Caenorhabditis elegans: one gene and its partners. The protein of the gene in region 2 purifies or fractionates together with the protein of the main gene of each other region. This does not show direct contact. Each region holds a gene or a part of one and is shown on either strand. Other genes may lie near its edges. The genes, in order: far-6, acp-6 and semo-1.

Evidence for each region.
Region 1: the proteins of acp-6 (region 2) and far-6 fractionate together in Caenorhabditis elegans (co-fractionation; one large-scale study listed by BioGRID). This does not show direct contact.
Region 3: the proteins of acp-6 (region 2) and semo-1 fractionate together in Caenorhabditis elegans (co-fractionation; one large-scale study listed by BioGRID). This does not show direct contact.

The regions. Positions count from the first base shown.
Region 1 is NC_003282.8:13,326,750-13,329,954, reverse strand, and holds far-6 (Fatty-acid and retinol-binding protein 1), read right to left. Parts: upstream 1,597-3,205; 5' UTR 1,595-1,596; coding exon 1,084-1,594; intron 1,036-1,083; coding exon 992-1,035; 3' UTR 641-991; downstream 1-640. Other genes in the region: pqn-74 (Chitin-binding type-2 domain-containing protein), read left to right, coding at 128-172.
Region 2 is NC_003282.8:6,424,073-6,428,064, forward strand, and holds acp-6 (Histidine phosphatase family protein), read right to left. Parts: upstream 2,068-3,992; 5' UTR 2,066-2,067; coding exon 1,871-2,065; intron 1,822-1,870; coding exon 1,687-1,821; exon of another isoform or gene 1,617-1,686; intron 1,603-1,616; coding exon 1,458-1,602; intron 1,410-1,457; coding exon 1,027-1,409; intron 948-1,026; coding exon 699-947; intron 650-698; coding exon 611-649; 3' UTR 528-610; downstream 1-527.
Region 3 is NC_003282.8:14,049,595-14,057,329, reverse strand, and holds semo-1 (Methanethiol oxidase), read right to left. Parts: upstream 6,131-7,735; 5' UTR 6,109-6,130; coding exon 5,935-6,108; intron 5,836-5,934; exon of another isoform or gene 5,815-5,835; intron 5,537-5,814; exon of another isoform or gene 5,516-5,536; intron 5,495-5,515; coding exon 5,397-5,494; intron 5,382-5,396; exon of another isoform or gene 5,361-5,381; intron 5,335-5,360; exon of another isoform or gene 5,313-5,334; intron 5,056-5,312; exon of another isoform or gene 5,035-5,055; intron 4,963-5,034; exon of another isoform or gene 4,938-4,962; intron 4,870-4,937; coding exon 4,499-4,869; intron 4,422-4,498; exon of another isoform or gene 4,401-4,421; intron 4,347-4,400; coding exon 4,144-4,346; exon of another isoform or gene 3,679-4,143; intron 3,594-3,678; exon of another isoform or gene 3,569-3,593; intron 3,506-3,568; exon of another isoform or gene 3,485-3,505; intron 3,359-3,484; exon of another isoform or gene 3,338-3,358; intron 3,162-3,337; exon of another isoform or gene 3,140-3,161; intron 3,022-3,139; exon of another isoform or gene 3,001-3,021; intron 2,836-3,000; exon of another isoform or gene 2,815-2,835; intron 2,798-2,814; exon of another isoform or gene 2,777-2,797; intron 2,535-2,776; exon of another isoform or gene 2,514-2,534; and 20 more.

The DNA of each region.
Region 1 (3,205 bases), 6.9 Mb from region 2:
TCGGCAACCAATTCAACCGGTTTCCGTTCTTGTGTGTGGCAATTGAGACGATTACAATAGGGACGGGGGTGTGTAAGAATGGGGAGGGAGGCTCGAATAGATCATAAGCAAACGAACACTCTTTCAGTGCATGGTTTGCTGCTACTTCCGCAAGAAGGCCCGTCGTTTCTAATCGATCGAACATCTCACACACATCATCATCGAACCAAAAACTGCTACAATCTTCTCGCCTTTTTGTATATACCGTGAAGAAAACAACAATCATGAAACGGATACGCATAGACAACCATAATTGTACCGCCTAGTTTGCCCTCACTTTTCCCCCGTCTTCCCCCAAATCCCCAATCCTTATTTGTATTCCGAATTGTCCAATGTCTAGGGTTTTCTCTCCAATGATAACTATTATATAACTTATGATGGTACTTCAATAAATATATATTTTCAATACTTTTCTGGTTTTTGTCTGATACCCCGGATTTGCAGTGATTTTAATGGTTTGTTCAAATATTTTAAACTCAAATACTTTGCTTATTGGAAAAATGTTTTCAACTAACAAAGTATTGACGAAAACTTTTTCTACACTTTGGATTTTTCAAAATTATACAACTCTGTTCCAGAAAAAAAGCTACAGCAGCTGACATCAGGCGGGTCGGTTTTTTTATTAGAATTTCCAAGTATCTAAACGCTTGGTGTTTTCATAAAACAAAGTTTAATAAGAAAATAATTTTCGCAGTTTTCTACTTTTTGCAATTTGTTTGTATTTCATATGAATCTCAAATTTCGAAATACATTTAATAAACATTTAAATTGTTATTGGTTTTTTAGTGGAGTACTTAAGCAATTATAGGAAGTGCAAATTGCAAAATGTAAAAAACTTTGTGGAGATAATTTTCTTAGTGTACCTTGTTTCATGAAAACACCTAATTTCAAAGGTACTTATTTTTAAATGACAACAAGCTTATTTTGGTAAAATAATTGAAAAAAAAACAATTTAGTAGTTCACGATCTGTTGGATGATGGCTTGAATTTTCTCGTCTGAAAATAACCGAATGTTTAATCTTATTTCAAATTTTAAAAACTCACGTTGAAAGAATTCAACGACGATGGGGAACTCATCGGTGATGGTGGCCTTGGCGTTTTCAGAAAGTGTTTTATATTCAGCAATGTATCCCTTGAAGAGTTTCTTTACCATCTCAGGAGTTGGCTGGTATCCGGCATGGAACTGTTGCCGGAAAGAAAGTCCCTGAGCGATGACTTTCCCGAATAAAGCCAGAGCGGCGGGGTCGAGTTTCGCGAGTTTTGTGCGGAGTAGGACGTCGAGTTTTTCAACCTTAGCGTACAGGGATGGGGACCGCTCCTTGATATCAGCACTCAATTCTTCAACAGATTTGTTTCCTCCCATAACACTTTTGATAAATTCCTTAATAGCAGCTTTCTCCTCAGTAGTGATGGATTTAAGGTATTCAGTAACTTTAGCTGGGATGAGTTCCTTGAACTCAGCTGGGATGTCGTCTAAGCTTTGTGGTAAGCGTGAAATTGGAGCAGAAAAGACAGCGACGGAGGCAAGTGCTATGACAAGGAAGATGCGGATCATTGCTATAACATTTTAAATTATATAGGTTGCCACTTTTAATTGAAATAGTCTGGATATCATAAAATCACGGAAAGCGAATAGAATATTGGCCGGCACTGTAGATGTGAAAATGCTTTCAGGCCATTTTTTTCACAAAGTCAACAGTTCAAAAAAAGACCCATAAAAGTTTTTTTTCATGTCTACTGTATGTTGTTTTATAATTTATATTTCTAAAAGAAAAATAGATGAGAAAAATGAGAAAAAAACGGCAGAACTTAAAGAAAAGAAAGCTCGGCGCCGCTTCTGCTGTGCAGCTCCTGCTCCGCCGGCCATGTTTTTATACGACCTTGGATGACCCATCGTTAACGAAATAGTGTACCGAACCGAGAGTTCCAATGAAATGTCACGTTCCCTTCGAGACACATGACTCACTTTCCCTGGATTTCTATTATTAAGAAAACTACTTTTAGTGTAATGAAGTTTAGGGTTTTCTTTTTGAACCTAAATCTGTGTGGTGCCAAAATGCAACAATATCATTGTAAAGCTTTTTAAAATTTGGTTGGAAAAAATTTTAATTGATAGTCAAAAAGTGGCAATTACTAAGTTTTTGCCACTTTTTGAGAAAACTATAGCGCATGTTTGAATCCCTACAATGAGCCCACAGAAACCGAGCTGTGACCTGTAAAACAGAATTACGGAGATTACCATGACTGACCTTAATAGTTGCATTTACAACAGTGCATCGGGTTTAAGCTGATCCAGTTTCTCATTTAGTACAAATACCTGAAAATATAGTCTCTGTGAAATATCTCCAATGACTTAAAATGTACCTAAATTAACAAAAAAAAACAAAAGAGAACCTCTTTTTCTTGAACTTCTTGAAAAAATGAGTTCGCAGTCATTTTCAGAATACTGGAACAAAACATTTTGATCGGTTTCGGAAATATGATTAGGCGAGTCTTGGCTAAAGAAATTCCGTCAATTCAAAATTGATTTATTTCTGAATCGTCCCGTCCCTACCAACTCTTTATCTGACTTTTTTCTAACTATTAGGCATTGTTTTAATGCATATCAATCAAATTTTTTATCTATCATTTTTTTTGGAATTCCGTTTGACATTATCAGTGTCAAATATTGCATGTTTTACGTGTCAAGTGGAAGGACTGATAATCGGTTTATTGGAACTTTGCTTTCAGTTCAATAAAGTGAAACTTTGAACTAAGGGCAAGAATTTGTAGTGTCAAAAAATCAGGAAAAAATATCTTGAATACGTGCGTGCCTACCACCATTTTTTGCAATTTCGAGTGAATTCAGATGCATTTTTTTTAGCAAAACCGAAAAATCGAAAAGTCGAAAAATTGGAGAACCGAAAAACGAAAATTTTCGATATTTCGATAGTTTCGAAAAACCGACAAACCGGCAGCCCTGGTGTAAATCAGGGGGTGATCGGCAATTGCCGTTCGGCAAATTCGGCAAATCGGTAAATTTGCAGTTTGCCGATTTGCCGGAAATTTTCAATTCTGGCAATTTCCCGGTTTGCCAATTTGCCGGAAATTTTCATTTACGGTAAATTGCCGATTCGCCGTTTGCCGGATATCAGATTTGCCGGAAATGTTTAGAGGGATTTTTTAT
Region 2 (3,992 bases):
GTTATGAAAATCAGGTACTTTTAGCATCTAAACAGCATATGTATCATGTTTGGGAAAAAGTTTGGGTTTTTTATTCCCGTAATCCATCATATTACATTGACCACTTTTACCGCTACTTGCCGACTGAACTCACAATTTTTTCACTTGGAAATTGTTTTAGCATCTGCAAAAAATATTTATTTATTAGTTTTGATAAGAAAAAACGGAAAAAAATCGGTGAAAACGAAAGAAAACACACAGAAAACAAAGCAAGATAAATGGCCGCTGAAATTTGTCGGGGACTCGGCCATGGCCTAGAAACCACTTTTCCTCGTCCCTCGTGAGGAAAAAGTTGCAGTGTATCAAGTGGACGATATCCAAACACTTCGGTTTCCAGTCTGGAGTTTTTTTTGTTCTCCATGGAGCTTCACGTATCTTTTAAATAGAAAAAAAAACGATTTTCATCGCAAAAATAGTTCCAAATCGAGGTATACCCCTTTAATGAGCACAGTAACCCATTCTCCGTTATTTTGCAATTTTCATTGATTACTTTCGAATTATTTATTAAAAAGTAACTACATTAGTACATACGAAGCGAATCAAACGATTATTATAAATTCATGCAAAGAATCTAAGCCTTGTCGCATTGAGACTTCCAATCGGAGAAGGACTGAAAATGTTAATTTGTTACAATAATCTAACCTATTTTTCCAACTTACGAATTGTTTTGCATAGGCGAAGAATTGTTCCAATGGAATGAATCCATCCTTGTCAGCCAATTTCTTAAGTTTTGGAGTAAGTTCAGCTGGATAGATGACATGATCATCGATTGGGTTAGGATCATGGTTGAGAAGACGGACAGCTGGTTTTGGAAGACGTTTAAATTCAACTACGAATCCAGCGGAGGTGGTCAGTTCATCCTTCACGTATCCCATCAATTTCATGACGGAAAGAGTGATTTCGGTGTGCTGGAATTTGAAATTTGTATAATTTTTTCACAGGAAATAGAGGTTTCACATTAATATTGACAGGTTGTAAATAACTTACAGAAGCGTATCCAATAACTTGTGGTCCCTTTCCAGCGTTAGCATCAGCAACCTTATCAATCAAATTCTGAAGCCAATATCCAGCCATCAAGTTTCCGCATGGTCCGTACTCTGCACAAGCGTTCTGATGAACTTCAGCAAATTCCAGAATCTTAGCCTTCAGCTTCTCGAAAGTGTATCCTTTCAACTTTGGAGCCTTAATCCATGATGGATATTCAGCCTTGTAGAGATCAATTTCAATGAGATTATCGGCCAAATCAGCAGCTTTTCCCAGATTCTCCATGTTCCATTTGGTGTTGTCAGAGAAGTATTTGAGCTCAGCTGCGTTGCTTGTCTTGAGCTTCTTGAGGAATGGAAGGGAATCCTTGTCGATTGGGCCCCAGACTGTAAAATCAGGATTTATATGTTCACATTATACAAGTACAACCGTACCCTTATCATTTCCTTTGCATTCCTTAACAGCGTACATTCTAAGAAGTGGATCATCAATGGCATATGGGACTGGAGACCAATGATCGTACCATTTCTTATCCCAATCCCCCCATTGTTCTGGATCGTGGAGAGCAGCAGTGACAGTCTAAAAATTTACTGTTTCAATGTGGCAACTTATAGTTAGATAAATTTTGATTATTTTACTTTGAATTCGGAATTCGCCACATACCTGAAGAGTCATTTGGCATCTGTTGGCAGAACTGGAGTAATATTTAACTTGAGATGAGTTGTAGTTACGAGAGATCAAATTTCCAATAAAGCTTCTCAATTCCTTTCCCAATCCAAGTCCTTGACGCTTTCCGAACTGAAATATTACTAGATTTCATTTAGAAACTCCAATAATTAATACTTACTGAAGTCAATTCAGTATTTCCCTCATGTCCCCAGCTTCTTGGATTCTCTTGGAGAAAAACTTCTGGATGACGGTTTCCGTGACGAGTTCCGAACAGCACAAGAACCGAGTTCTTATCAATTGCAACAGACTTCTTTGGGAGAAGATGGGCGGCTGAAGTAGCCAAGATCAAGGCAGAAAATAGTAGAAGGTTCATACCTGAAAATATAATTTCTTTGTCTGAGGTGGCGTAAAATACAACGGTAAAGTTGAAGAAACATATCACTTTTTAATGAGAGCAAACCAAGAAGTATGAAAACTGATAAAGCTTCTCATGACTAGACTACCTACATGCCTATTCCACAAACGTTGCAGGTCCGCAAGAAGGCATTTACTGTTTAGACTAAAAGGTAGGAGATTGTAGAATGATAGATTCAGGTTGAAAAATACATATTCTGAGAGCTTTTCTAGACAAATTTAAAATTCTGGTAATCAGTTAATTACACAAGAACACTGAATTGCCAGTGAACTTCCATCTTACCCGGCGTTTATATACTGTTTTTGTTTTGTTTGAAACGATAACAAACTGATAAGATAACACGACAGAACACAATTCAATAAAATTGAATTAAAAGAAGATATGACCCGATTTGAAATAAAAAGTATCTTCAGGTGTTTTGTTACCGTTTCATTGAAACAGAATGAACAAAAAACCGTTAGTTGTTGGTCTAATAGAGAAACCATTAAACACGGAACTAATAATTTTATTAAAAAAATCTCAAATGAAATATCACGTTAGTTCAGAAGCCTGCGCCGGCCTCGTACCTTCCCGCGTGCTCAATGATCTGCGAACCCTTGCCGTACAACTTTGGTATTCGTCAGGTTCAACTGAAAGGCACAAGGCAGGCGCGATAGAAGTGGGCCTACAAATCAGTCACTATTTTTAAATTCAAGCTGTAAAATAATTACTTTAACATGCATCCATGGCACATTTTGGAAACTGTTACTAACAGAAAATTTCAAAATTTTACTTCTATCCTGAAACCGATCGAGCACTAGATGCTAACTTTATCTTAAAATTACCTTTTTTCAAGTTACAAAAAATAATTCTTTTAACTTTTCTATCTATGTACCTAGGATAGCAATACTTGAGTACTGTAAATCTAAATCACATGCTACCTAGTACGATCTTGTCATTAAAGGATTTCTCAAGGCCGTGACAAGAGACCAGACGTGACAATACCAAAATATCATGATAAAAATATAGATCACAAACAGAAAGGATGTTTGGATGTACGTTCTCAACATTTTGTGCCATTCTTTTATACTCTGTTAGGTACGACCAAACTTCAATTCAATTTGGCCTCGAAATTGTCATGGAAGGGAGAAATGAATTGAAAATGAGACAATTTTAAATGAATGAAAGAAAAAGATGAAATACACAAAACACATAGAAAACAGACAAACATGAAGAAGATCAATTGTTTATTTGAACTCAAAAACTCCATGTTTCACCATCTCATCTTCAATTCAATTTCTTCCAATTGAATACACCAATTACTCTTTTTTTCTCTGTTTCACAAAACCACAAAGATCGCGAGAAAACTTTAGTTCCGGTTTTTCTCCGAGAATCTGCGAGAGTTCAAGGTGAGTTCAAATGACCGTGAATTGCGCCGTGGCAATTTGAATTTCAATTAGACAGAATTTTTGAGACTTCATGAGCAGAAGGCTGAAGTAAAGTTTGCAGAGAATACGGTAGGATTTGTCTAGTATATATGCCTCCCGGGTTCCTATCGCGATGGCTCCATTGTGCTAATTGAGGCATTCGCGAGTTCGTAGGGCTCTAACATAATTTTCGGATCTTTGGTGCCTTCTGGAAGGGCTACACCAAAAGCTAATTGGAAGAATTACTACTGTAGAAAACTGTAGAAAATTTGGTTAAAATTACAAAGGGGCTAATGAAAAACACTTATTATTGGATAATTGTATTAAAATTGGGAAGGGCTGTTGTTTAGAAACGACTGACAAATATTGAAAATCAAGTAAACAAATTATTTCTTCTAGGCAGCCTACATCTGCCTCATGCCTATACACAAGAACATGTAAACCATTAGTTTCATCTCACAGTTTAATCTCTAACGAAA
Region 3 (7,735 bases), 7.6 Mb from region 2:
TCATTTTTGAGATATTCAGAAAAGTTGTAGGTCATTTGAATTTATTGTCTTTCATTTTAAAAATTCATTTAAAAACAAAAATAAAATTTCTGGGCATTTAGTTCGAGTGATCATCTTTTTTGAGTTTTCATTTTTGAGATATTCAGAAAAGTTGTAGGTCATTTGAATCAAATGTCTTTCATTTTTAAAACTTATAAACACACAGTGAAACTGAAAATAATTTTGTTTTTGAAAAGGATTATTTGGAAAGGTGACAAAACTGTTTTGAAAACAATTAATTTTGGCTCAGACGGGTTTAGTTTGCAGGAACTTTGTTAGTTTTCCACTACTGTCTATTCATATAATGAACTGAACAAAAAATCAAAAATGAAAAAGACAATCGATAAAAGGAGCCAGTTTTTATTGAGGAGAATTCCGGATGTTCATATATTTTCTTCCTACTTTCTAATCCATAATTTTTTTGTGCAATTCTACTAAATTCCCGTGATTTCAACTCGCCACATTCTTTGTACCATATATGATGATTGCTTCGTTCACATTACAAAAATCCCCTTTTTTCAATATTTATTCGCCTGGTTTCCCCCGTTTTTCTAGTTGCATCATGAGTTGAAAAATCCTTTCAATTTTTTTTTGAAAATCTGAATGAATTGTGATGAATATGTACAAGCTAATTTTTTATGCAAAACATTTTAAAAAAAACCAAATTAAATCCAAATATCCGATGTACAATCTCCACCGGGATAACGCATCTCGTGAGCCAAATAGGGACCTCCTTCAATTTTTCCAAAATCGATCAAAAAGTCTCGATTTATTTCCATTTTTCCAGATTCTGGATCAATGTTGACTTGAACCATTGTGGCGCCAGATCTGAAAAATGACAGGGTTGCAAACGCGCTCCATTGAGAAAGTAGGACGAATTTGGTGTTTTTTTTTTGAAATTATCATGAATTATTAAGCGGACGAAAAGAAACATTACCAAGTCTCGACGTGACTATTTTTTCAACGGAAAACGTGTGTGCGCCTTTAAAGAGTAGTGTAATTTCAAACTTTCGGTGCTGCAGCTATTGAACTGTTTTATCGATTTCTCATAGTTGTTCTTTTTTTTAAAAATTATTTAGACTAGAAAAACAAAGAAAAACATGAATTCGTGATAAAATCAACTCAGCAAGTGAGAGAGAATCGCTGCAAATATGAAAGATTTTTGAAACGGTGATTTTTTTTCTAAACAATAATTTCACCATGAGCGTATTTTTAGTGTAAACTACAAAATTCGAGATAATTTGTTTCGTAAGGACAAAGGTTCAATGAATAAAATGAATAAAAAAGAATTACATTTCGCGAATAGCCCCACAAGTGAGCGGAAATAGTTTGCTCAAAATATACTACATTTATGAAACGGTAACTTTTTTCTCAGAAATAATTCTAAATTTTTTCATAAGTAGCACTCACTTGACATGTTCTGGATAGAATTGATCATCCCATTTCTTGTATAAAGAAGTTGTAACATAAAGTCTCTTTCCATCCAATGACAACTGTAACATCTGTGGACCTCCTTCAATTTTCCGTCCCTTCACATAAAGTGCTTCAATTGGTTTTTCACCTTCTAGAACTTTTACATTTGATTCCGTATGTACACTTCCTCCAATATAAACTTGAGAATTCAATTTCACCTTCAATGGATCAGAAATGTCATATTGACGAATATCTCCATGAAGCCAACACGAGACATACAGGAAACGATCATCCATTGAGATAAGGATATCAGTTATAAGAGCTGGCATTTCTGGAAGAGCCCATCCACTTACTTTTTTAGAAGGAATGAAGGCAACGAGAGTAGCTGCATGGGTTGTTGAGTTCTGGAATTATTTGAAAAATTGAATGTTTCTCATTCAACGTATCACTGAAGATTTGTTTTCAGTAGTATTCAACAAACATTTGGCAACTATTTTCATACTGACTATCAGAATTTTGAGATTTTACAAGAAAAAAAATACAAAGTGTGTTAAAAGAACACCTCGAGAACAGGAAAGAAGCAACTTTTCTGAAAAACTTTATTTTCAAAAAGAGGTTATCGCGAACTGTCGAAATAAGTGTAGGTATATGCGCTGCCAAAATTATATTAACTTTTTGAAACAGTAAATTTTATGTTTTTTTGTAATTTTGCCTGAAAAGTTGGTGGCCATTCACAAAAAATAAATTTTTTGATCGAGCTTTTTTGTTTCAAGGGCACACTGCTGAAGTGGATATAATTTTATTTAAAACGTAATTTTTGTTTTCAAAAGTTTACACGAAAATCTACTGTTTCAACAAACTCATTTAACATCTCGCTAGAAAATTGTTTTCAATTGAACTGTGGCGTGACTTATCGACTGTTCTAAAAGAGCTTTAAAAATCATGAGACATTTAATGTTTCGATTGGCTGATTAAATGTTTCAAGTTGAACAAGGTGTCAATTTTTTAAAATTATATGTTTCAGATGATCTAGAAAACCCGGTGAGATTTCTAATTGTCACTCGAACTTGATTTCCAGTGAGACTATACTTTGCACAGAAAGGAATTTTTGTTTCGCAGCAATGCAGCAGAAGCAGAGATAATTTTACTTAAATCTGAAATCGGTTTTTTTTTCAAAAATTTAATAAAAAAGTCTATAACTCATTAAACATCTTACTTGAAAATTATTTGATTGCATTGACATTGCTAGAAAAACTAACAAAATCATAAAATTTTTAATGTTTCAATTAGCTGATTAAACGTTTTGGTTTGAATAAAGTTTCACTGAGACTATAATGTCCGCGCTTTAAAATTATTTTTTAGTGTCGAAAAAAAAATATTTTTTCTTTCTTTAATTGACCGAGTTTTCTTGATTCACAGTCACGCAGAAAAAATCGATTTGAACTTTTTGTCAAAACTAAATGCATGCTGCTTTTTAAAAAAAGGTTCATCAAAAATCTACTGTTTCACTAACCTAATTTTAAAAAACTCGGAAAAATACGTTTTTAGTATTTGCATCATTGTTAAACGTTTAATGAATCTATAAACTGATTTAAAAATAAATTATTAAAAACACTCAAAGATATTTTTTAAAAATTATTATATGTTTCAAGTAGTCTATAAATACTGAAACTATTTTGAATTAATATTGGTTCTTCCAAATGAAAAAAAAGAAAAATAGCAGTTTGGTCTACACAACTTTCTCTGAATTTCAAATTCAAATTATGCCCTAATCATGTATGCCAAAGCATTAAAGGATTTGAAATGTACGAAAGCGCTCTGATTTTCTCAAAATGTCCACATTTTTCTCGAAAGTTAGTCATTTTGCCAAAGAACTTGCTCAGAAAACTTCGGGAATGAAAAAAAATCAATTGAATAGAACGGAAGTTTTGATAACAACGTATTGAAACAATTTATTTATTTTTAAACTTGAAAGTTTCTAATGCAATGTTTCGGTGATCCCAGAAAGTTACACATCAGCTTACAACACTGCTATTCAATTACTGACAACGAAAATATCAGTACTATTGATAAATTGTCAACTCCCCCTACGAAGATCATTTATATTTGATTTCATACGTTTTTTTGGATTAGCAAATGAAATAAACTTCCAATAAGATACAATATGATAACCTATTGAAACAGTTTTCTAAAAGTTTTCTAAAAATTCTTTTCAATATTACTCACCTCCTCAACAGGATGAATTCTAAAAACCGGATCTATTTCAATAGATGACAGGAATACCAACAGAACTAAACTAAAAACAACAGAGTGTGTTATGAGGACAAATTGAAACTGAAAAGTTTTTTGAATGTTTCAATGTTTTCGTAAAATCACGGCATTGATCTCCAAAACTGTTTAACCATTTTCAATTGACTGAAACTTTTGAAAAATCAAACACTCTACTGAAGAGTTTTCATGGAATAAAATTTGAGTACTCTGGAAGAAGCAACAGTTTTGGAAACTTTGCTACCTCCCAATCAAGGATGTGCGGCAGTTCTCAAAATTTTCCGAGCTCGGCAAATTAGTTTTACAATAATTTTAATCTTGATTCTATTCTACGGTTTTAACATATTAATCTCAGTTTCTAAACAAATAATAACTTATTGAAACATTTCAATTTTTCTGAAAATTCTATTGAATATTACTCACCTCCTCAACAGGATGAATTCTAAAAATTCCTGATCCAAGAGCACATCCCACAAAAGCGTGCTCACTGGTTGGCTCATGGAGGAATCGAACTTCAAGTGGAAGTGCTCCAAGTGGCTGTGGTAGATCAATTGTTTGAAGATATTTCTTAGAGTCCCATTCGAAAATATGAACACTGTTTCCGTAGAGACCCTCTCCGACGTGAGCTGGAAAATTTCATGTTTTAAAAAAATTTGTAACTTTTTGGTTTTTAGTGATGCTGATGGCTCATGCCGCAAGGAATAATTTTAATTTTTGGTAAAATGAAACAAGAGGTGTTGAAACAGTGATTTTTTAAAAGTATTTTCAGTTTTCCCACCTGGATTAAATCCCTTTTTAATATGATTCGGTGATCCCCATTCCGTAGAAATCATCACATTTCTCCTTGGCTGGTACCAGAAATCATAGTTAAACGGAACAGTCTTCTCGTCAGCTGGCCATGTTCCTTTCGGCTCAAATGTCTTTCCATCCAACAACAAAAAGTTACCAGATGGAGTTCCATTAGCTTCTCCCAAAGTACTAATCATAATATTTCCATCGGCAAGACAATGTGAAGTATGTGGAAATGAAAGGTTTAGAGAATGAAGTTTTGATGGTTCAATTGTATGTTCAAGATAGATTTTACGCTCATTTTCTACGTTGATAATGTAGATACGGTCAGAGTTCAGGCAAGGAACGATCAAATGGGATCTGAAATTATTTAGAAATTATTCTACTGTTTTGGTTTGTTAATGAAAGTTCTCCGATCTAAAAATTTATTGATCTTTCAGTTGACTGAAATGTGAAGTTTGTAAATTCGAATTAAAAAACTGTTTCAAGAAATTGGTTCAAGTCTAACTAAATTTATAAAAATGATCTTCTCGTGAATGTCGCTCTGATCTGATTTTATTACAAAGCTTTTGCATCCGTATCAAGGGTCGTGGAAAAATTTAGGTTTATCAGTTTTTTCTTGAGAAAATCTAAAAATCAGAAAAACAAACAAGGGAGAATCTATAGATTTATCAAATATATGATGATTTTGTTTGAAGAATAAAAAAAAACATGTTATTGTGACCACTTTTTAAAAAAAAAAAGTCGGAAAACCACACTTCAAAAATGAAAATTTAATTAAAAAAATTTTTAAACAAAACTTGATGTTTCGAACAGTTGATTTAATTTTGCCACCTGTACTAATAGAGTAATAGTATCATCCTAAAACAATAAATATTTTAACTAACCTCTTCTCAGTTGGTTTGTCATGACAAGAAGAGCACGCATTCCATCCAGTATGATGGACTTCATCACCAATATGTGGCACATCAACTCGGCTGATCACCTGAAAATATTAATTTTACTGGAAAATGTTATGATTGATCGATCTCTAAATGCTAAAACTACGAGTGGATATCAATATTTTGAAACCGATAATTTTTTCAATTAAATAATAATTTTTAATTTTTACTATACAATCATATATCGTGCAAATCGATTTAAAACTCTTAAGCTTGAGATAACCTTGAAATCAGAGAGATCAAATCAAAGTTTCCTGATTTATTTTTGGCTGATGCAACAGAGATGAAAATTGCAAAATTGCAATTTTATTCCGGTAATTTGAACAATTTTTCTGATATAGAAACAGTTATTTCAAGCTTTATGGACGTGATCTACAAAAGACAATCAAAAAATTAGTTATTCCTAAAACTCAATACGTCTTTTTGAAACAGTATTTTTTTCCTCCAAACAAGAAAAAAAATCAACTTTACAAATAAAATTTACCTGACAAAAAGTGTCACTCTCTGGATTCACATCAACTGTAAAAATGGCATCAGGACCATCAGCTGCATTTGGAGCAGTCACAAATAAAACTTCTTCTCGTGGTCCTTTTATAGCATCAGCTGGAGATGCATATCCTGGACCACCATGACATTTTAAACCACAGTTTGGGGACATTTTGGTTTTTGGGATTTTTGATCTGCAAATATTGACTTTTTTTTAAAATCAAACAATATAATCAAATCAGTAGTATGGATTAAAAAGTTACATACATACAATTTTTTGCTGAATTAAACTATAGCAAAATTAAATTTTTTTCAAGTTTGACACTATTTTTGTAGCTTTGAAAACAAGTTGCACGAAAACTTTTGGGCAAACATTTTTAGCTTCAGAAAAAATTACTTTTTTTGTCACAGCTCTAAAAAGGGGAATGTAAAAATTAAAAAAAAAATACAGCGAAAATTTGTAAGTTAAAAAACTAACGCGGATGTAGCAAAACCAAAAAAAACTGAAAAATGTGAAACTTATAAACACACAGTGAAACTGAAAATAATTTTGTTTTTGAAAAGGATTATTTGGAAAGGTGACAAAACTGTTTTGAAAACAATTAATTTTGGCTCAGACGGGTTTAGTTTGCAGGAACTTTGTCAGTTTTCCACTACTCTCTATTTATATAACGAACTGAACACAAAAATCAAAAATGAAAAAGACAATCGACAACAGAAGGGGATGACATTGATAAGGTATCACTAGCTGTTCTATGTCTTATCTCTAGCAGTCATCAAGATGATTGTTCAATGAACCAACTAGAAATCTACTAGAAACACGTAGGAAATTATTCTGATACAAACTACAAGTACCGTTTCTGGTTGAGATTAATTTTTGAATTTAGAGATGAATTTGTGAACATTGTGTGACTGATTCAAAGTGCACAGATATTTTGATAACATTTTTTTTTAATTTTGGAAAACCGATCTGACTACAAAACGTGAATTTATTTGAAATTGAAAATAGTGAGTTTTTTCGTTTTTAATTTATCTTCTGATACTAGGCTTAACAGAAAAATAATAAACAATTATTCAGGGTTGTGCGCGCGACAAATTCCAAAATTTGAAGGACAAAATTATTGATGAAGATGGGATCAACTGTAAATTATTGAAAATCTCCATGAGGATTCCTTGAAACAGTAAAAAAATGTATCGCGAATATAGCAAATTTTTAGAAAAACTCAGCTTGGGTTAATTAAATTTGCAAATTTCTTATTACGTTTTCCACTAATAAAAAGGTTTAAACAACAATTTTATTTATTTTTTATTTATTTTAGGTGCTGCAAACGGCAAACGGCAAATGTCACTCGCTAAAAAAAATTGGTCGACGATGAAAAAAAAACTTTCGGCGTCTTTCAGCATGCGAAATTTTTTTTATTTTTATTTTTTTTTTATTATTGGAAATATAAACAAATTTGAATATTAAGTTGTTCATATTTCCTCATGAGAACAGTCATTCAAATCCACCTTAAGCATAAAAATCTCCACAAATATATGGGGAAATTACAGTTAATATTGCTACATGTTAATACTGTTACAATACTAATAGAAAACTCATACCAATAGTAAAATGAGGCATGTTATCAATCTTTCATTTGAATTTTATTGGATTTTCACATTGCTTCTCATTGTATTATATAAAATTTATTGAAACGCCTAATGAAGTTTTAGTGAAATAGTTAAACATTTTTTTGCAAACTTTAAGCAAACGTAAGCCGTTAATAGCTTAACTGTTAACTGGTGCAATTTTGCTTAAA